Arabidopsis thaliana: one gene and its partners. The protein of the gene in region 2 interacts with the protein of the main gene of each other region in a pairwise test. Each region holds a gene or a part of one and is shown on either strand. Other genes may lie near its edges. The genes, in order: AT1G17310, BPC1, NST1 and AT3G46600.

Evidence for each region.
Region 1: the proteins of BPC1 (region 2) and AT1G17310 interact in a two-hybrid assay, tested with the Arabidopsis thaliana proteins (one large-scale study listed by BioGRID).
Region 3: the proteins of BPC1 (region 2) and NST1 interact in a two-hybrid assay, tested with the Arabidopsis thaliana proteins (one large-scale study listed by BioGRID).
Region 4: the proteins of BPC1 (region 2) and AT3G46600 interact in a two-hybrid assay, tested with the Arabidopsis thaliana proteins (one large-scale study listed by BioGRID).

What each region holds. Positions count from the first base shown.
Region 1 is NC_003070.9:5,927,114-5,931,593, forward strand, and holds AT1G17310 (MADS-box transcription factor family protein), read right to left. Parts: upstream 1,721-4,480; 5' UTR 1,588-1,720; coding exon 901-1,587; 3' UTR 812-900; downstream 1-811. Other genes in the region: AT1G17300 (uncharacterized protein), read left to right, coding at 1-177, 274-327; AT1G17330 (Metal-dependent phosphohydrolase), read left to right, coding at 2,853-3,014, 3,168-3,198, 3,291-3,309, 3,690-3,787, 3,914-4,012, 4,144-4,316, 4,396-4,480.
Region 2 is NC_003071.7:426,244-431,346, forward strand, and holds BPC1 (basic pentacysteine1), read right to left. Parts: upstream 2,658-5,103; 5' UTR 1,967-2,657; coding exon 1,115-1,966; 3' UTR 871-1,114; downstream 1-870. Other genes in the region: AT2G01920 (ENTH/VHS/GAT family protein), read left to right, coding at 1-747. UniProt on the Arabidopsis thaliana protein: Transcriptional regulator that specifically binds to GA-rich elements (GAGA-repeats) present in regulatory sequences of genes involved in developmental processes.
Region 3 is NC_003071.7:19,219,814-19,225,346, reverse strand, and holds NST1 (NAC (No Apical Meristem) domain transcriptional regulator superfamily protein), read left to right. Parts: upstream 1-2,430; 5' UTR 2,431-2,524; coding exon 2,525-2,711; intron 2,712-3,022; coding exon 3,023-3,309; intron 3,310-3,806; coding exon 3,807-4,430; 3' UTR 4,431-4,622; downstream 4,623-5,533. Other genes in the region: AT2G46765 (uncharacterized protein), read right to left, coding at 4,783-5,007. UniProt on the Arabidopsis thaliana protein: Transcription activator of genes involved in biosynthesis of secondary walls.
Region 4 is NC_003074.8:17,155,622-17,161,119, reverse strand, and holds AT3G46600 (GRAS family transcription factor), read right to left. Parts: upstream 3,197-5,498; 5' UTR 3,073-3,196; coding exon 1,321-3,072; 3' UTR 1,155-1,320; downstream 1-1,154. Other genes in the region: AT3G46610 (Pentatricopeptide repeat (PPR-like) superfamily protein), read left to right, coding at 1-896; TRFL1 (TRF-like 1), read right to left, coding at 5,174-5,347, 5,418-5,481. UniProt on the Arabidopsis thaliana protein: Probable transcription factor involved in plant development.

The DNA of each region.
Region 1 (4,480 bases), on a different chromosome or scaffold from region 2:
CAGATTGACAAGGATCAGGAGAAAGCATCAGTTAGAGGAGAAAAAGATAGCTTCCGAAGAGTCCCTACTCCTACTCCTGCTTCTTCATCGCGTCACTTGTCTGCTTCTTCTTCCGATATCTCTGCTTCTGATTCCTCTTCCTCTCTTCCCGTAACTCTTGACTCCATCAATACCAAGGTCGGTTTTTCTTGACTCCACTCTAGAGACTGATGTCTTAAAACGTTTCTTGACTGCTTCTGATTTTTATTTGTGGGGATATAAATGATCACACAGGTTCTCAAATATGAGTATGCTGTCCGTGGAGAAATTATCAACATTGGTCAATGATGAGACTGGATGTGTTGAGGCCTGAGAGAGTCGGCTGGTCAAACACGTGAAAGAGAAAACCTAATTGCATGTTTAGGGATTAAGCTAAGACTTAGTCTATGTTATTATTCTGTGTCAATTTGTGTCGTGCAAATAAATAAGAGTGACTTGGTTTCCTTGTTTTAAGGAACCAGCATTCCAACCTTTCCCGTTTGTTCTTAATTGTAAGAATCACTTGTTTCCTTCGTTATTTGCTTTTTCTTGTACGCCTTACATAAAATAAGAAAACGACCAAGAGAAAATGCAGTTTCAATCTGCCAAAAATACTTCATGTGGTATATAAATATGGTACATGTGCAGGTCAAATCTTAAAAAAAATTGAAAGCTGGTTTAACTGATAGAATACTGTTCTACATTATGTAATATGTATGGTTCAAAGATTAAAAATCCAAACAACTGAATTTCCAAAGTATGAAGTATACAAGAGATGAAACAATCTGATGATCAATAGCATAAAATCATATAATTAAACTTAACAAAACTAAATAAAATATTTTAGAAATTCATTAGAGGAATACTTCACGACTGGACTAATCAATCACCGTTTTGACCTACACGGCATCGATTAACCCCATCCGTCAGATTTTCCAATTTTTGCATATCCATCGTTGGTTTCCATCCCATCACATTGATTGGCCATGCCGGAACCATATCAACCGTCCGATCGTTACCCATCGCCACAATCTTTTTCCCTATATTTTCTCTCAACATACTCAATGCTGCCATGTACTCCTCAAGCTCCTCTTCTGGCACACTCTCCACCGGACGCTCCCACCACGGTCTCCTACTTTCCTCATCCGCCGCGTTATCACCGGAATATCCCTCCAACTTCACCGGACTCTTACGAAGATACTTGTCTATCAATGCGTCTACATGGCCAAATCTGTAGATCCTATCGCATTTAGAGAACGTTATGACGGCGATTTTTGCGCCCGTGAGAACGCTCAATTCAGCGGATTTCTTGAACAGCCCACGACGGCGTTTCGAGAACGTTACTTGTCTCTTGGTCTCTTCCTCGATTTTCTTGATCTCTATCTTCTGTCTTCCTCGTGTCGTTTTAGGGGTTTGTGTTGTTGTCTCCTTTTTTGGTTGTCTAACCAACATGTTAGGGCTTTGAACAGAATCCTTGGGCGTCAAGCAAGTCATCGATGAAGTTTCTCTTTCTCCTTCCATGAACAAATCTTTCATGACTAACCGAGAGGGGAGAGATGAAAATATCATTAGGTTTTTCCTTGGTCGAGGGATTTATAGTCGTTCATGATTATGTAATAATAAAGGAATTAATTTGTCTTACTTTTCTTCGTACGTTTATGGAATGTTGTATTAAATGCACCTCCAATTAATTAATATTTTTCGGAATGATTCAATGAATCAAAGATAGCTTCTCGTAAAAATGTAAGACATGTGTTGTCTTATACAAAAGTTATAGAAATAATATAAAATCCGAGATACTACTTTCCATTTTAGTCGTTTATTGAATAATCGATTGTGAATTTGTGATACACATTATATTTATATAATATATGCATAGTCTACCTAAATATACACGAATCTCTTTTTACTATCACGTACACATATACAAACGTAGCATGTAGAACAATTATGTCATGCCAAGCAGAAGAAAAACATATGAGTATATGACGTCTTCTTGCCAAGAAGTGATCACATATTCAAATTACACATATGATATTTAAGAATTCCAAATATCACGGTAAAATGTCTAAGTGACAAATTGATCACATATTCAAATTAATTAAGTATCTCATTCGTGGCCAAGAAGTGATTTGATGACATCCTTGTTACTTGATTACAATCTATTCCATAGAACAAAAAAAAAAAAAAAAAAAAAAAGAGTTTAAGAACAGAAACTTGGAAAATAATCAATTATTGAACTACCTCTCTAGAAACAACTAAAATCCCGAATATTTATAAACACCAAAGCAGATAAACCACTTCATAACCAATGCAATTGAAAAGGTTCGGGGACAAAGATAAACCTTGAAATCTTACTAGGGAAAACACCAAAGACAATCTCCATTTCAATGGATCAAATTTGTTTTGAAAAATGTATCCAAAAGTCATAAGTTTATATAAATCGACCTTTCAACTTGACAAATCAGTACTATATAGCCAGCGATTAATGTAAAGAATAGGTTTTCTATAACAATCAGTACAGAGATTTTTAAAATAATTAACAGAAAGTGGCAAAGTTTGTGTAGTTTAATCTACAATAATATGTGAAAATATCTCTGTAAATTTAAATATTTTTTAAAAAAACATAAATAAATAAATTCTTTCATACGTAAGGGTAAAAAGGTAAAATGAGTAAATTCCTTCCCCGAATTTCTCTTTGACTCCGGTGGTCAACGTCGAGCCGAGACGGCAAACTTGAATCAATTTTAAAACAGAGCTTCCGACGCTGAAATTGCAAAATCAAAATCTCTCCAATCTTCGAAACTGAGCAGTTGAGAGAGAGAGAGAGATAGATGGCGGCGAAGACGATGAGGAAGGCGGAGGAGCTGGTGGAGAAGGCGATGAAAGGAAACGATGCTTCTCATGACGCCTGGCACGTGTGGAGGGTCCGAGACCTTGCTCTCTCCATTGCTCGCGAGGAAGGTCTCTCTTCCAATTCTGACTCCATGGAAATTGTGAGTTTGAAAAATCCCTAAATCTCAAAGTTCTAGTTCAGCTGAGCCTGATGAACCTTCTTCTAGTTAGTTCTTCTAGTTAGCTATAGCTGTTTATTGTCAAATTTCAGCTCTTTTACTTTAGAGTGAACCATTTCTGTTGATACTTTGCAGGTGGAGCTTGCAGCTCTTCTCCATGATATAGGTACTTGGTTTTATTTTCATTTCTGTTTTAGTAATGTGGTTCTAGTCCACAGGTTGATCATAATTCGTATCTCTTGCCCTCTCTCTTATCAGGTGATTACAAGTACATAAGGTTTGTTTCTCTAAGTTTTCTTTTCTTTTGAACCGCTTGAGTATAGACTAGTAATGTCCCTTCCAACATTCTTGATCACACTTCCAGGAAACAAAAGTGTTTACTTTTCTCATGAAACTCTCTAAGTTCCCTGCTTTTAACTTTGTTTTATCTAAACTGGATGAATAAAGAAACTTGGAAGTGTTTTGTTTGCGAATGCCATTAGGTAAAGCTTGTGAGAATTCCTTGTCAGATTTGCTTACCTTAGGATTGCTAGGCTCTACTAAGTGGAACTTGGTGTGGATATAAACATAAAAACTACTTAACTATGAATGCTGAAGATTGCTTTCCTTCCGCTGATATGTTGCTTCATGGCAAAAATAATTATAACCGGAATTCAGAGACCCTTCGGAAGAGAAACTTGTTGAGAATTTCCTAGATGATGAGGGTATAGAAGAGACCAAGAAGACGAAGATACTAACGATCATCAATGGAATGGGTCAGTTTCCAGCTCCTACTTTTTACTCAACATATCCAATCAACTATAATGTACATGATTTATCACTACAATTAAGTCATTCTGTTGTATATAAATTTGTGAACAGAACAAGTGTATTCTTTCCAGGTTTTAAAGACGAATTAGCAGGAGTAGCACTCTGTGAGTCTCTTCCAGAATTTGGGGTAGTTCAAGATGCTGATCGCCTTGATGCAATTGGCGCCATAGGTAAGAATACGTCTCTTTTCTTTAGTTGCTTTTGATATGTCATTGCCAAATATCTGCTTTGATGTCATGTGAAAATTCTCTATGTTATGGAATTTGTGCTATTAGTTGTTGTTGATCTCTTTCTGTTATAGGAATTGCTCGTTGCTTTACATTTGGTGGAAGCAGGAACAGAGTGCTTCATGATCCTGAGATCAAGCCCCGGACAGAGCTAACCAAAGAGCAGTACATTAAGAGAGAGGAGCAAACTACTATTAATCACTTTCATGAGAAACTCCTCAAGCTAAAGAAGCTGATGAAAACTGAGGTAAGTTTAACCGCAACTCTATTTTGACGCGAAAAATTTGTTTCGATTTGAGATTTAATGTGGATTGAAAACATATCAGGCGGGTAAAAGGAGGGCAGAGAAAAGGCACAAGTTCATGGAAGAGTATCTTAAGGAGTTCTATGAAGAGTGGGATGGGTCAACTT
Region 2 (5,103 bases):
CCAATTATACGCGCCGTCTCGTTACGCGTGGAACACACGCGTAACTGGACGGTGGCTTTGAAATGTTTGATGTTATTGCACGGCTTGTTCTTCTCCGGAATCATGACCGTCGATTCGATCGGACGGTTACCGTTCGATCTTTCGGGTTTCGGGAGAAGGAAATCTCGGTTTAGTAGAACCGGTCGGTTTAACATCTTCGTTCGCGCTTATTTCATGTTTCTTGACGAAAGATCGATTCTCTATTATAACAAGAACATGATTCGATTAGAGATTATCGTTAAGATGCAACGAATAGTTGATTCATTGATGAGAATCAAACCAATTGGTGAAACACCTCTTGTAATCGAAGCTATGGAATATGTAATCAGCGAGGTTGTTTTGATTAACGGTCATATATGCCGCGGATTCGCGGGTTTCTTATCCGATGTACAGTCGAATATGCTCGAGATATCGTCCGCGGAGGCGGATTTGGCGATGAATATCGTGGCGAAATCTTTGTCGCAGAGAGAAAAACTCTTCAAGTATTTCGAATTCTGTAGAGGTTTTGGTGTCACCAACGCTCAAGAAACCTCTAATATCTTGCGAATCACGGAATCTCAAATGATAGTTCTCGACAAGCTTCTCCATATCGCCCCCGAGTTAGATTGGAAAGCCGCAAAAGTAACGCCGGTAACCGCGGCGGATATGGTGGATTTGGTGACCAGCGAGGAGCGCTCTAATACTCCATCAGATTTTCTTACCTTCTAATCACGTAATTAGTAGCTAATCATGTTATAGTCTAACGTTGTTTGTACATCTGTGTATGTTAATGTGTATAAGATAAGGTAAAAATGCAAATAAACAACCTTGAAACATCTTATAAAAAGATTTTCTTCTTCATTAAAATTGTTTAACATAACAACATTTTTTATCAAAACAACATCTAATGTTACAAGTCAACATTTCAAACCTAAAGCTGAATGAAATAGTTTCAAACAAACAAAACAGAATATGAATTAAGATATGATCAAGCCCTAAAAACGAAGAAGTTACCTTGAAGAAGAAGGAAAAACAAAGGTCACAGTTTTGTTGTTATATACACGATCAATGAAGAAAAACAAGAGCTTTTCAAACTTTATCTGATCGTGACAAACTTATTGGTTCCATGTCTAGCCCAATGAGACTTCAAATCAATCGCATTCCCAAAGCTATAACCTTCTGTTGATAACTTCTCAAGAACCTTCTTAAACGCGCCTTGACTCATCTTCCTACCCGAAATCCTTGCACCGCGTCGCTTAGTACTCATCGGTAATGGATACACCGAAATGTTAGTCGTACAACAAGCGGATTGCCATCCGCCGCAACCCCAACGGTAACATTGTTGAGGAGTTCCAGTACAAGTACAAACCGGTACAGGTAAACCAGAAATGTCCATACTCACACCGTTAATCACAAGATCAACACTCTTCTTAACCGGTTTCACACGCTGCTGCTGCTGCTGAACATTGTTGTTAGTAACATCTCTCTCTTCTTTCGGTTTACGCATCTTCTTAGCTTTCGGTACCGTTGGTGTTGCGATGCTGCCTCTCATCTTTCTCTTCTTACCAGTCTGCTCTTCACAAGGAGCAGGAGGAGGAATCGGATTCTCCTCAAACCGGGATGAATTCAAAACCGGTTGATGTATCATCTGAATCGAATTCGAACCAGATGTTTCCGACAACACATTACTATAACTCGGTGTACTTATAGGCAACATGTTGAAGAACTTGTTGTCCTTTGGTTGATTAATCCAGCTATAGTTCATGTCTTGCTCTCGAGAGTGATACGAACCGTTAGAACCGATCATAAGATTCGATTCACGACCGGGTAAAAACGGTTTAGTGTTCCGGTCAATAGTAGACATAAGCTGCAAACCGAGATTACCTTTAAACGAAGAAGCAGCCGCTGGTTCATAGTATCCCCAATTGCGAAATCCATCATCGTCCATTGATGATTATAAAACTACAAACAATGCCATTCAAAGTCAAATCTAAACACAATTTGATCCAAAACAATAACAGAACACAATTGTAAAAGTTTATAACTTTGTGGTTGAATCTGATTCTAAACCTCGAATTCATCGAAATTTCCATGAAATTAACATAAAATCTATCCATTTTCTAACGAAAGCACAGATCTTTGAGGTACCCAGAAACGAAAATTAGGGTTTTTGTAATCAGAATTCAATTTTTGTTTGAGACCCATATTGCAGAGCTCTAGATCTGAGAAACCCAGAACCAGATCTGAAGAAACAGAGCATAAAGTTTCGATTTTTTTTTTGAGAGAGAAATGTTTCAGATCTCGAGTTTTATTAGTCATAAGCTTCGATGAGAAGATCGCTAGAAATGGGAAAGACAAAGTAAACAGTACAAAAAGAGGACGCAAATGATAATTTTCGAAAGAGAGAGAAAGAGACATAGATTGATGAGAGAGAAATCTCTTACATGGGTTTGGTCTAAACGGCTCTTTAAAGAATTTTTTGACCTCCTGGAGAGAGGAGAGAGAAACCTGAGAGAGATTGAGAAAGAGAAAGAAAGATAGAAGAGAGAGGAAAGAGAAGCTTAAAAAGATCTTCCCTGTTTTTTTTTTCTTCTTAGAAAATCCTAAAAATGACACTTTAATATAATATTTTTGGTGAAGAGATTATTTTTGGTTATTTGTAGGGTAAAGAGATTTGGGGGAAGAAGAAGAAGAAGACAAAAACAAAATCAAAGCCCACTTCTTCTCCTTATCCTTTACATTGTACTATTGATAAAATATACAGTATTTGTCATAGCATTGAGAAGGCAAGCTCAATACCACTTTTACTAATGAGATCTTAGTCTTTAACCCATAGCCACAACTAAGCTTGACCAATATCTAATCCTCAAGTAATGAAAACATCAATTACCTTTTGTTTTCATTGTCTGACGTATGAGCTAACAAGACGAAGATTAACCAAATATTATTATTTTAATTGGTAAATATTCTAGGCAAAGCTTAGAGGTCGCGTTACATGTTGTACTTTTGGGTCTTCGGAAATTACGGCTTTGGTTCAGAATGTTCTGGTATTCAAAAAAAAAAAAACAAGAAGAAGATTAAGCATGTAACTAATTAAGAAGATGTACAACATCCAAACAGAGAAATTCAACACTTGATCAAACATCCAAAGATTTCCAATAGCTGGATTCACACTAGATATGAAGATAGAGATTTATGTGTATGAATCTCCGGAAGAAGCTTTTTTTTGTTAAAGTCTCTGTTTCCATGCAACTTTTTGATTTCCATGGATAATGCTCAACAACTGGCCCATATGCGACTCATTTAAGAGATAAGAGACCCAAATACTTAATATCAAAATTACGTCCAGTGGACTCATATTCAAGGCCGGTAATCATTTCGGCCCATAACCACTTTTTTTTTGTTTCACCAACTTAATTTGATTTTAAATTGAGTAGCCAACATTATAATTACACACGTACATTTTGACTAAAAAAATTTTGTTGACTGAAGTTGTATTTTATCTTAATTCGATTTGAAAGATTGAGTACAATTATACACATTGTGTTTATTTTCTTGGCAACATTTTATAGAGTTTATGGATGTATGCGAAACTTGAGAATGAAGGCATGAGACCAAAATATCCGAATAAAATGAGTAATGATGTATTGAGAATGTTCTTTTCAGATAAATAACTAATTTTATGTTTATATATATGGTTTTTTATTATTAAAAACATTAATAATTGAAGATAAAAAGAAAAGATAAAGAGAGAATCAAAGGGAGGAGTTGGGGGAGATGATGGCATTTCTTTGCTTTGTAAATTTGGAGCATGTGACTTGATCCTTCTTTCCAACTCAAATCTCCTACTTATATTATTTTATTCATTCTCTTGAATTAACTTCTAATAGTTTACCATTGTTATTCGAATTTATCTTGATTATATAGTTAATATTTGTGAGATATATCCTAGGTAAATATACCTGAATGTCCAAAAACTAGGTCTAAAGAGCTCAATATTTTTATACATTAAACTTAGATTTCAACTTTTATGTATAACTTTTAACCTTGGATCAACCACTAGGCCATTGTCGATTTATTTTTGACTATTAAAAATCAGACTATTGTATTTCATTTAACATGTTTTTGTTTCTTTTTGAATTTTTGCATTCATTTAAGATGTTGTGGTCTCTCAAGTCCATATATAACGATTAGAAACTACAAATTTATAATTTTGTAGCTCCGAAATAAATATCATGCATTATGTATCAGCTAGAAAAGATCTAATCAGTGGTAATAATCGATAAGCAAAGGGTTAAGTAAGAGATGGGAGAGTAATCTCATCTTAGGAAATGATTACAAACACGATCTCATTTCTTTCCTTTATACAAAGCTGTCACCGTAGTAACTCGATCACATCTTCTCGTCTAATTTGTTCTGTTTTTCCTTTCGGTCCATTTAGAACCAATTTTTGACAACTGACAAAAAACATTATGAGGTATCTTTTGTTTCTTTTATCTGCAAATTAATTTATTATTCGGCAATAACAAAAATAAAAACAACTAGTAGCGAATAGCGATCAAGCTAAGGAAGGAATACATATGGCATTTACAATTGAAACAGAGAAAATGTGTTAAAGTAACAAAACTTATGATTGAGAAAATTTAAACCATAATTGAAACAGAGAAAATGTGTTAAAGTAACAAAACTTATGATTGAGAAAATTTAAACCATAATAATGATTAATTTTGGTAGTCTACATATGAGTTCCATCAAAAAAAAAAAAATGTTTTCATATAAGATTCATTTCATTCTTGATCCAGTAACATTCTTAGATCTGTTAATGAACCTTCTTAAGGAATGACTGAGAAGAAAGGCAATAGCCTAAAAGGAATCGACAGTGGAGAGTGGAGGGAAAAAGAGGTCACGTGAGTAAGACATAAGGTCACGTGCGCGAGGGATCGAATATGAATTTTACTAAAATAGGGTTTTATAAAAACATACTAATACTACTTTCACATTTACTCTTGGTTTGAATTATTTTTATACGCATGTATAATTTGATATATTTGTCTTTTTTCTTCCCCTAACTATGTATGGGCACTA
Region 3 (5,533 bases), about 19 Mb from region 2:
AATAAAGTTATCAATTTTGTTAAGAATCAATGAAGGTTTCACAAGACTGGGAAGAAAAAAAAATAGATATATGGAGTACATAAAACATTAAAATTTTGCTAAATTTTACTTTTGAACTCTATTGATTCGGGTTGACATGATGATAATGTTACATTCGTACAATTTCACAATGAAAAAAACGAGTACTAAATATTGTCAATCAAACATATGAATGTACAAAAATCCATAAACTCTACCAAAATAGAATGAAGATTCTGAAATCAAACCTACTTTTTCTTTTTAATTATAAATTCAACTATATTATAAATTTATTTATCACAAATAATAGAGGAGTGAGAATATTTTAGACAACGCAAATTTCTTTTATTTAGTTCTTATACTTTATTTTTTACCAAACGTTAATTAAAAAAATCACACATACATAATTTCTAAAAAAAATGTATTCTTCAAGTAATATATCTTTCTGAGTACTAGTTTATCTATTTATCTCCGTATTTAATAATCAAAAGTTACGTTTAAAATAGAAACAACTTTTATCAAACAAAATATATTAGAAAACGCATGGTACTGGCTACTGGAAAGAATCATGACCTGTAAATTTCTACAGTTTTCCCGTTTTATATAGTACTTAGAAACTTTGGATTTTCATAGCGCAACCAATAAACACATGGACTTAAGACACAAAAAAAGTTGGGTGCAATGTCATTAATCAAACTAAAAAAATAATGATTAAAAGCATGGAATTCCGAAAACGCAACAAAATGATTCTGTGTTTAGACAAATGCAGAAAGGCCTCTTAACTAATCTTAAATAAAGTCTTAGTTCCAACCACATAAACACTCCTTAGCTCCATTAATTTTGGTTTTCTTAATTACGTTTCTACACAAGTACACGTACTTACACATACAATTCCACAGTCTAAATGATAAAACTATGTGGTTTTTGACGTCATCGTTACCTTTCTGTCGTCTCACCTTTATATAGTGTCTCTAACAGAACGTAACAACCAAATGTTTAAAAAAATAAAAACAGCACCCCTTAATTAGGCTCATTCGTTTTGCACTAACCATACTACAAATCATCTCGAACGATCGAGCAAAGATTTGAAAAATAAATAAACGTATAACTCTAGAGATTTTCATTAGCTAAGAAAAGTGAAATCGATTGTTAATCCTATTTCAGACGGGACAGGAACACTCATTACCCAACTCTATCATCTCTCGAACACCAAACTATATCTACCGTTTGGGGCATTATTTCCCACTTTCTTTCGAAGACAATTTCCCATATATAACATATACACATTATTACTAATATATTTTTATAAATTTTCGTCACATCCCAAAAAAAAACACTCTTTGTCACATCAACTAGTTTTTTTGTAACGATCAAACCTTTTCGTTTAAAAAAAAAAAACTTTTGTAGTGTAAACGTTTATTTATCGATGAAAAAAGCCACATCTTCCGGAGGGAAACTTTTTAAGACACCCTATTTCGACTTTATTTTGTAAATACAGTGTGCATGTGCATATAAAGAGAGATATCATTTGTATAAATATCAAGAATTAGAAGAGAAAAAGAGAGAAGAAGACAATCTATTACTATTACGATGTGTGGGTTGTTAATTTGTTTAAAGGGAGCTTTTCTATAGAGATTTTTAAGGTCAAGGGTCATCGTTCGATGTGGGCTTGCTTCCTACAATCTAGTTGCCTTACGGGGCCTACTCTTTTTCTTTTGATAACTACATCACCTTTTTTTTCTCCGACAACTATATATCACTTTTTTTATGTTTTCCTTTTTTTCTTCACAATAATTCTTTACTCGTTGCAAATGTAAAGATACACAAAGTTACTTATTTTGTTTACGATGGTTCTTAGTAGTTTAAAGAATTAATGAATAAGATAAACCTAAACTTTGAAAAGACTAAAAAAAATGTATAACAACATACATTATACGTATTTGAAATAGTCCAAGTGATATTATGTCATTGATATTAGCACAAATAATTACGATGCCTGATATTGTCACATTTGATGATTTTAAGTTCTTGTAAAAGATAAGTGTAACTAAATCACTATAGTGAGGCCCACGTTTTAATTTCTAAACTAATTACAATGACAATAAAATAGCAAAACTATTTAAAACTAGACGCCAAAAAAAATTGAAACTAATAATTGTGAAAAAAGAACAAGAGAATAATAATCATTAATAATTGACAAGTGAAATTAATATATTGCTCTTGGAGGGTTATATTTTAATTTTCAAACTAAATAATGAATACAAATGGAAAAGCTAATGATAAGAGTTGAATTTTAATAATTAAGAAAAACAAAAAAAGGTGTACAAGGAGACACATGCGTTTTCCTCATGCATCTTGTTTTTATACAACAATATATATATATATATTGAGTCATTCTCTGCTAGCTCTCTCATCTCCAACTTTCAGTATGATATATAGTTACAATTAAATAAACCTCACATGCTCTATTCTTGCTTGATTTTTGAGTTAATCTTGAATCTCTTTGATGATGTCAAAATCTATGAGCATATCAGTGAACGGACAATCTCAAGTGCCTCCTGGGTTTAGGTTTCATCCGACCGAGGAAGAGCTGTTGCAGTATTATCTCCGGAAGAAAGTTAATAGCATCGAGATCGATCTTGATGTCATTCGCGACGTTGATCTCAACAAGCTCGAGCCTTGGGACATTCAAGGTTTATTTCCATAAAGAAATTTTTTATGAATTAATTTTCTCTCTTTCACACTCTCATAATCCAATTTTCCGAATTTATTAATTTTTCCATATATATGAAAGTGCTGTCTTGTCTATACTACTTTCGATTCATGACGTGATCTCATGTATCCTTTTACGAGAATATGACTAGAGTACAGAGAATCTACACTTAGTTGTTGATGTTGTTTGTTCATATTCGGAGTTAGTTACTGCAAAGACCAACATAGGTTTGGTTATTATACAATTTACTATTTAAGTTTTTTTCTTCTGATTATTTTTGTCGTTATGCAGAGATGTGTAAAATAGGAACAACGCCACAAAACGACTGGTATTTCTTTAGCCACAAGGACAAAAAATATCCGACGGGAACGAGAACTAACAGAGCCACTGCGGCTGGATTTTGGAAAGCAACTGGCCGCGACAAGATCATATATAGCAATGGCCGTAGAATTGGGATGAGAAAGACTCTTGTTTTCTACAAAGGCCGAGCTCCTCACGGCCAAAAATCTGATTGGATCATGCATGAATATAGACTCGATGACAACATTATTTCCCCCGAGGATGTCACCGTTCATGAGGTATGTATTAATTCCATCATAACCTAAATACGAGTTATTCAATCAAAGGATTTGGTCTCTTTTTTGAATATCTCATTTTACATCACAATCTCGATTTTGTTTTGATTAATTATTATTTCATTGACCATTATAAAAGTTGTTACTGATGATAAGATGTACAAGTAAAAAATATCATGTAATTAATATATATATAAAGGTAATTAATATATTTTAAAAAACAATATTTATGCAAAGTATGATCGTAATTTTCTTTAATAACATTATGAAAACTATCACATATTCGTTTTCGTTATTATTTTTTTCTTAAATTCCCAATATTTAATGATAATAGTTTTAGTTACTTCTTCCCACAAATATTTCTTTTCTCCTTTGTCATATACAGACGCACATGAAACTGAAATATGAATTTTCTTTTTCTTTTTGGTTTTAACCTAAATGGGATTAGTGCAAAACATGAACTTTGCTAATATATCTTAGTTGATTTTTGAATATTTAAGGTCGTGAGTATTATAGGGGAAGCATCACAAGACGAAGGATGGGTGGTGTGTCGTATTTTCAAGAAGAAGAATCTTCACAAAACCCTAAACAGTCCCGTCGGAGGAGCTTCCCTGAGCGGCGGCGGAGATACGCCGAAGACGACATCATCTCAGATCTTCAACGAGGATACTCTCGACCAATTTCTTGAACTTATGGGGAGATCTTGTAAAGAAGAGCTAAATCTTGACCCTTTCATGAAACTCCCAAACCTCGAAAGCCCTAACAGTCAGGCAATCAACAACTGCCACGTAAGCTCTCCCGACACTAATCATAATATCCACGTCAGCAACGTGGTCGACACTAGCTTTGTTACTAGCTGGGCGGCTTTAGACCGCCTCGTGGCCTCGCAGCTTAACGGACCCACATCATATTCAATTACAGCCGTCAATGAGAGCCACGTGGGCCATGATCATCTCGCTTTGCCTTCCGTCCGATCTCCGTACCCCAGCCTAAACCGGTCCGCTTCGTACCACGCCGGTTTAACACAGGAATATACACCGGAGATGGAGCTATGGAATACGACGACGTCGTCTCTATCGTCATCGCCTGGCCCATTTTGTCACGTGTCGAATGGTAGTGGATAACGGAAATGGAGGGAAAGAGAGAGAGGCACACACACATAAGACATTTCACATTTGTGTAAAAAGATATAATCATACCATATAGTTGTTGAAACATATAAAAGAAAGTCAGATTTGTGATAATTACAGTGGTTATGTGAAATATTGTAAAATAGATTAATATAAGAATTTAAAAGAGGAGAATAAAGATCTCAAAAAGGAGATATTTCGTTATTGTTGGGGAGAGCATTACATTTCATTATAATAATCAAAATGTCTTCCATTTAATTTTATAGTTTTCCTTCTAGAAGAAAAAAAAAACATATTACGAGAAGCTTCGCCGCCCCGCCTAGGGTTTCCAGTTCCGGTGGCTTTTTCAGCACCAAAACCGGAATTTCTTTGTTGTAATCTCTTTAGTTTCGTTTTCTTGTGGGTTTAATGTGATCTGAATCCTATTTTCTTCCAACGGTCTCTGTTCTAAATTCACAGATCTAGATCTGTGAAGTCTAAATCCTTTGCTCTTCCAGTTTTGCTGCTTGTTTGTCTCCTTCGTCTGCAGCTTCAGTTCTGGCCGTTCCAACCATGGCAGAGGCAGGTTCATTTCGATCTTTCATCGCCTCAGATGCAGATCTCTCTCCATTGAAGATCTAGTTCTCCTTCCTTTCTTCTTGAGACCTTGTCCTTTGGGTTTCGGGGTGTTGTTTGATGTCTCACCGCCGTTTGTGGTAAGGAGAGTCTTGATTTTATTTTCTTTGGTTAGATCTCTAGTCTCAGATCTGTTTTTTAAAATAACTTTGGATTTAGACTTTGTTTTTCAGTTTTGAGTTTTTTAGTAATGGATCTGGGAAGTTTAGGTTTAGTATCATTGTTGTTATTTAATTTGGGTTTTTCCCCTTTAGATCTATCTTAGTTCCCGGGAGATGTATTGTGCTCGCCGGCTTAGTCTTTGGAAGGAGTGTTTTCCCTTGCCAACTTATATAATTCAACTCTTGTAAGGTTCTAATCCATCAATAAAATTTTAATTTTCTGTGAAAAAAAATAAAAAAAATTATAAGCCCATAATCTTGAAAATAATTTAGAAAATATAATTAAAAATTACAAGAACTACATAATATTTTACGACCAAA
Region 4 (5,498 bases), on a different chromosome or scaffold from region 2:
TGTATAAAAGAATCAGAGAGAGGTTTTCTGAGATAAGTCTGTCTGTTTGCAACCATTTGATTTGGCTGATGGGTAAGGCTAAGAAATGGTGGGCAGCGTTGGAGATCTACGAGGATCTTCTTGACGAAGGACCTGAACCTAACAATTTGTCTTATGAGTTAGTGGTCTCTCATTTCAATATCTTGCTGAGTGCAGCTAGCAAGAGAGGGATATGGAGATGGGGAGTTAGGTTACTTAACAAAATGGAAGATAAAGGATTGAAACCGCAGAGGAGACATTGGAACGCGGTTCTTGTAGCATGTTCAAAAGCCTCTGAGACCACAGCTGCGATCCAAATCTTTAAAGCAATGGTTGACAATGGTGAAAAGCCAACGGTCATCTCATACGGTGCACTACTCAGTGCTCTTGAGAAAGGGAAGCTATATGATGAGGCGTTTCGGGTTTGGAACCATATGATTAAGGTAGGGATTGAGCCAAATCTTTACGCGTACACAACAATGGCTTCAGTTTTGACAGGACAGCAAAAGTTCAATCTTTTGGATACCCTTCTCAAGGAAATGGCTTCAAAGGGTATTGAACCGAGCGTTGTGACTTTCAACGCGGTTATAAGTGGTTGCGCGAGGAACGGGTTAAGTGGTGTGGCTTATGAGTGGTTTCATAGAATGAAAAGTGAGAATGTTGAGCCTAACGAGATAACTTACGAGATGTTGATTGAGGCTCTTGCAAATGATGCAAAGCCAAGGCTTGCTTATGAGTTACATGTGAAGGCTCAAAACGAAGGGCTTAAACTCTCTTCTAAGCCATATGATGCGGTTGTTAAATCAGCTGAGACTTATGGAGCCACCATTGATCTTAATCTTTTGGGTCCTCGACCAGACAAAAAGAATAGACCTTAGTCTGACGAAAACACATTGTACAAGGTTACCGTGGGGTAAGGCGCATCCAAGGACCCTTAAAGGCAAGAAAATTGCCATTACAGGGAAGAAGAAAGTTTCCAAGTAATCACTTTCTTGTTCTTTAATACTCTTTTTAGTTTGTCTAGTCTCTCTGTTTATATTGTGAATTTTTATCTTCGTACAACATCTGTATTATCATCAGACACATTGATATGCAAACTGGTTTGTTCAGTTCAAAGTTATGGATCTTTTTGAAATAAGTTTTGAATTCTTGGTTTGCCATATGTACTTGCAAGAAAGTAGAGAGAAAGAGAGAGACTCATTCAATATATATGAGAGCAAACAGTTTCTACAACACTTTGAAACCAAAAACAAAGAAATGGAAAGCTAGCAAAATTATGCAAATGATTACAGAACTGTTTTATTACTTCTTAGCAGGTTTCCAGCAAGAAACAGCATAAAGGACTCTTCCTTTCCAGCCCTGAAACATCCAGTGGTTATCATTGTCGATCACAAAATCTTTGTGGTAACGTTCTTTCACTATCTCTTTCCCGTCCTTTACTATCTGTTTGCTTAGTTTCGCTGGTCTAAATCCTGCTCTTAGAATCCTAACCTGCCATTGCTTGTAGGTCTCTGGCCTTGCAAACCGCTCAGACCCTTCACAGGCTATCACACTCATTGCATCTCTTATGATTAGTTCCCTCTCCACCAGTGTCCTGCAATTGTCGTCTTCTGATAATGTGGTCTCATACATGTCAAAGAGTGACGAGCAATGGAAGAGAGCTTCTCTGAACCTTGTTAGGAAGAAGGGTGAATTGTAAGTCCCGTTAATCTCTGCAAACACAAAGAGGTCAGGGTTGATGTCTCTGAATAGTTTCAGAGCCGTGTCTCTCGGTGAGTTGAGGGACACGGTTTCATCAGGTGTATATTGTAGCCGGAGGATGCAGTTGACAACTGTTGTCTCGCCACTATTGATCACCAGATCATCAAGAGTTATGTTCTCCCAATTCTTGGCTATGAAACTGTACTCAAACGGGACATTGAACTTGTCACAGAACCTCTTTAGTCTTCGCCCGGTCTCTTCTACCCGCTCTGATGGACGGAAACCTGACTGAGGAAGCTCGATACCAGTCACACGGAGCAGTGGTGGTCCGATGTCACGTTTTGACAAAGCTTGTATCAGACAAGGCCATTGAAATCCATAGAGAATCCCAAAATCAATGATGTGAAGTGTGGTTGCTTTGGAAGCAAGCTCATTGATTGTTCTGTTTGCAGTGAAATAACACATTATTAAGGTGGGGCAAGCCTGAACAAATCCCTTGTACGCCTTCAAAATGTCCACCATTGATGTTCTGCTAGAAGTAGCAGATATTGGTGTAGTCATGGTTCCTGTAATACGAGCTTCAAGCGCCTCAGCAAAGTGATAACCAAGTCTTTGAGTCGCATCACCGTGGCGAGAAGAGTGTTCTCTTATCTCCTTCAGTTTCTCAAAAGCTCTTCTCTGGTCAAAACTCGCCACAGCTTGCGCGCATTGCATCAAAAGATTCCTCATATCTACTGGCTGATCTGACTTTTGCTGCTTGTATCGATTCGATGAGCCTTTTACGTGTCTTGTTTTCTTCTCTGTTGCTTCTCCCTGATCATTCTTTTGACATACCAACAACACTTCCTCAAACTTCTCTGCTAACTCATCCACCGTAGAAATCGCAGGGAGCTTCGATTTCCTTCCACTCTCAAGATCATCATCTTCATCATCATCCCTATGTCGATACCTTCTGGTTGACTCCTCTGAAACTTCAGGTTGATGCAAACTCGTTATAGAACTGAAGTTTCCAAGAGAACCATCCTCTAGATCACCCGAGATTGGAGTTTGATCTTGAAGCACTTCGAAGAAAGATCTCTCTGCGGCTTGTAAAGCCAAACTGTCTTCCAACATACAAGACTGACCTTCAAGATCTTCTTCCATCAACATGTCATTGATGTACTTAAAGACAGGAAGGTAATCTGAACATACCTTAGACTCGGTCGGAGAAGGGTTGCTCTGAGATTCAGATTCGTTGAAACAAGTGAAACGATTGGTCGTCCCAGATTCAAGATTGTTCCTCGGTTTGCAACAAGATCCAGAACCGGTGTCGAATCTGAACCCATCAACGGGTACTGGCAAAATAGCATCCATGAAACAGAATCTCTCTAGAATGAAGATTGAAACAAGAGTACTTTAGTAAGTCAACGAAAAGAGGAAATGAAAGAGAGTAGTGAGAAGTTTCATGTGAACACAAGTTGCGAGATGTTGTTGATATAAACAAAGGATAGGGTTGATATTTGTCTTATTTAATCTTTGTCTTGGCAAAGAAGAAAAATGAAGTTTCGAGGAAACAGAGAATGTGTGGGGTTGAAGATAAACACTAAGCCGCCACAAAAGGTTAGTAATAATATGTCCAAGACTTTATCTACTGTCGTGGGTCCAAATGGCTAAAAAGCTATTTGTTTTCTTGTTGTTGTCTTCCTTTTGGTCACTTGTCTGGTCAAATATTTGACTTATTAGTTATTACCTTGAATATATTTTCTAAATGTATTTAGAAATTTAGACTTTTTCTTTTTGTATAACGAAATATAAAACTTCGAAGTAAATTAAGTTTGTTTTGGTTCAGTTTTTTTTTCTACAAGACACAAGCAAATTTCAGTTTTTAAATAATAATATAGTAAATTTTATAATTTACTACAATATATTTGTTTGATAATTTATTTTGCATATAATACGCGTAAACTATTTAGTAGTCTGTTACCACATCACCAAAATTCCAAAAAAAAAACAAGATGTAAATCTTAATTGTATAACCTGTCCCTTGATTTTTTTTTTTTTTTTAAGTAGTGATTTTTAAAATTTAATGATTATTTATTATATATAAAAGTTTGAAAATTATACAATTCTCTAAGACATTAATATTTTATAATTTACAATTTTTATATAGTAACATTATACCATGAGACATTTTGGTTTTATATATATTTTTTTAAATCAGACTGATTTGATATGTATAATATTAGTGGTGTTAAAAAAAAGATTTAATATGTATTGAAACGGCAGATTAATGATATTTTAATTTGTTATTAATGTAGATTCAAAAATCCGTTCCGCAAAACCCATTCCAACAAAAACCCAGTTATTTTATTATTGTAAATATTCATTATATGATATGATTCTGAATCATTGTCTAAATATTTTAGTCAATGTGGAACATTAAACATACACATTATTTTGTCAATTGGGTAATACGTGTCCGTGTTTAAAATTAAAAATCACAATATATGTATAAAAAAAAATTGTTTTTTGATTTTATTTTATGTATTATATGACGATTTAAAACAAAATCAAATAAAAAGCATAATTTTAAATATTAATTAAATCTTCTAAATATATATAATATGGTGTATATTAGTTAAGAATCATAATTTTCTTGCTGCGTCAAGTTGCTAAATATATTAGTTTTAAATCGGTAAATATATCAGTCATCATAACTTCTAATAAATTGAACGTTATCCTCTATTATCTCGTCCAGGTCCAAATGTAAACTTCAATATCCTTTTGATTTTATTGCTAATTGCTTTAAATTTTTTCACAAACTCCAATATTCAATGAAAGGCAACAGTTCAGTGAAAAAAAAAAAAAAAAAAGTGGGAAGAGCTTGCCTACTCAATGCTATCTGCAAATATTTGCGAACTTTAGTTCAACATCGACTTCTTTACTGGTTAGAGATCCAGGATTTTGTGCCTTTGTTTGTGGCTATAGCCTTTAAAAGAGGCTTTGAGACCAGCTTATTACTCTGAACGACCCGTATTTAAGGTAAATACCATAGCACACATACCACTCACAAGCACAAGCTTCTGTGTATTCTTTCCTAATATAGGACACATGTGAACCATAAACTGACCAAACATAGACCAGCTTGAGTAACAATTTATCCAACAATTGAATTCTCCAGCACTCCTAGAGTTTGGATGAGGTATATATATATCAGTTCGTTGTCGTTGTGATATGATAGGCCGAGCCATAAATCATATAGACAGAATAAAAATGTCACCAAAGATTTACAACAAATCCTTTACATTGTTAGAAAAAACCCAACCTTATTTCCAATTATAAAACTTTACATTTGAAAGAAAGAAAAAAAAAAACAAAGAAGAACTGAGACCAGATCTTCAACTATGTCAGAATCTTACAATATGGATCATCATAATAATACACAAAGGTTCTTTAGACCAAGAACCTGTTCAGATTAGAGAGCCTCTACCTGAGTGGATGGTGGCTCAGTCTGCAGTTGATGCATTAGGTGTTGTGACCAGTAAGCGTGTGCCTTCAAAACACGGTCCAGAAGTTCCTGTGGCACCGGCTCTCCTCTCCGCTGTTGTGGAGATATCCTTGCCGTGTGGACCAGCGTCTTCCACTTATCCTACAAAGGCAAAGACTCAATACCAAACTGTATATATTAAGGTTAAGAGTTAGTTAAAAAACTAACTAACCTTGAGATCAACATAGGTACGATGGTCTGCGTCCTCGAAAGCACGAACCTTCACATCTCTCCACCTGTAGTTTTCAAACAC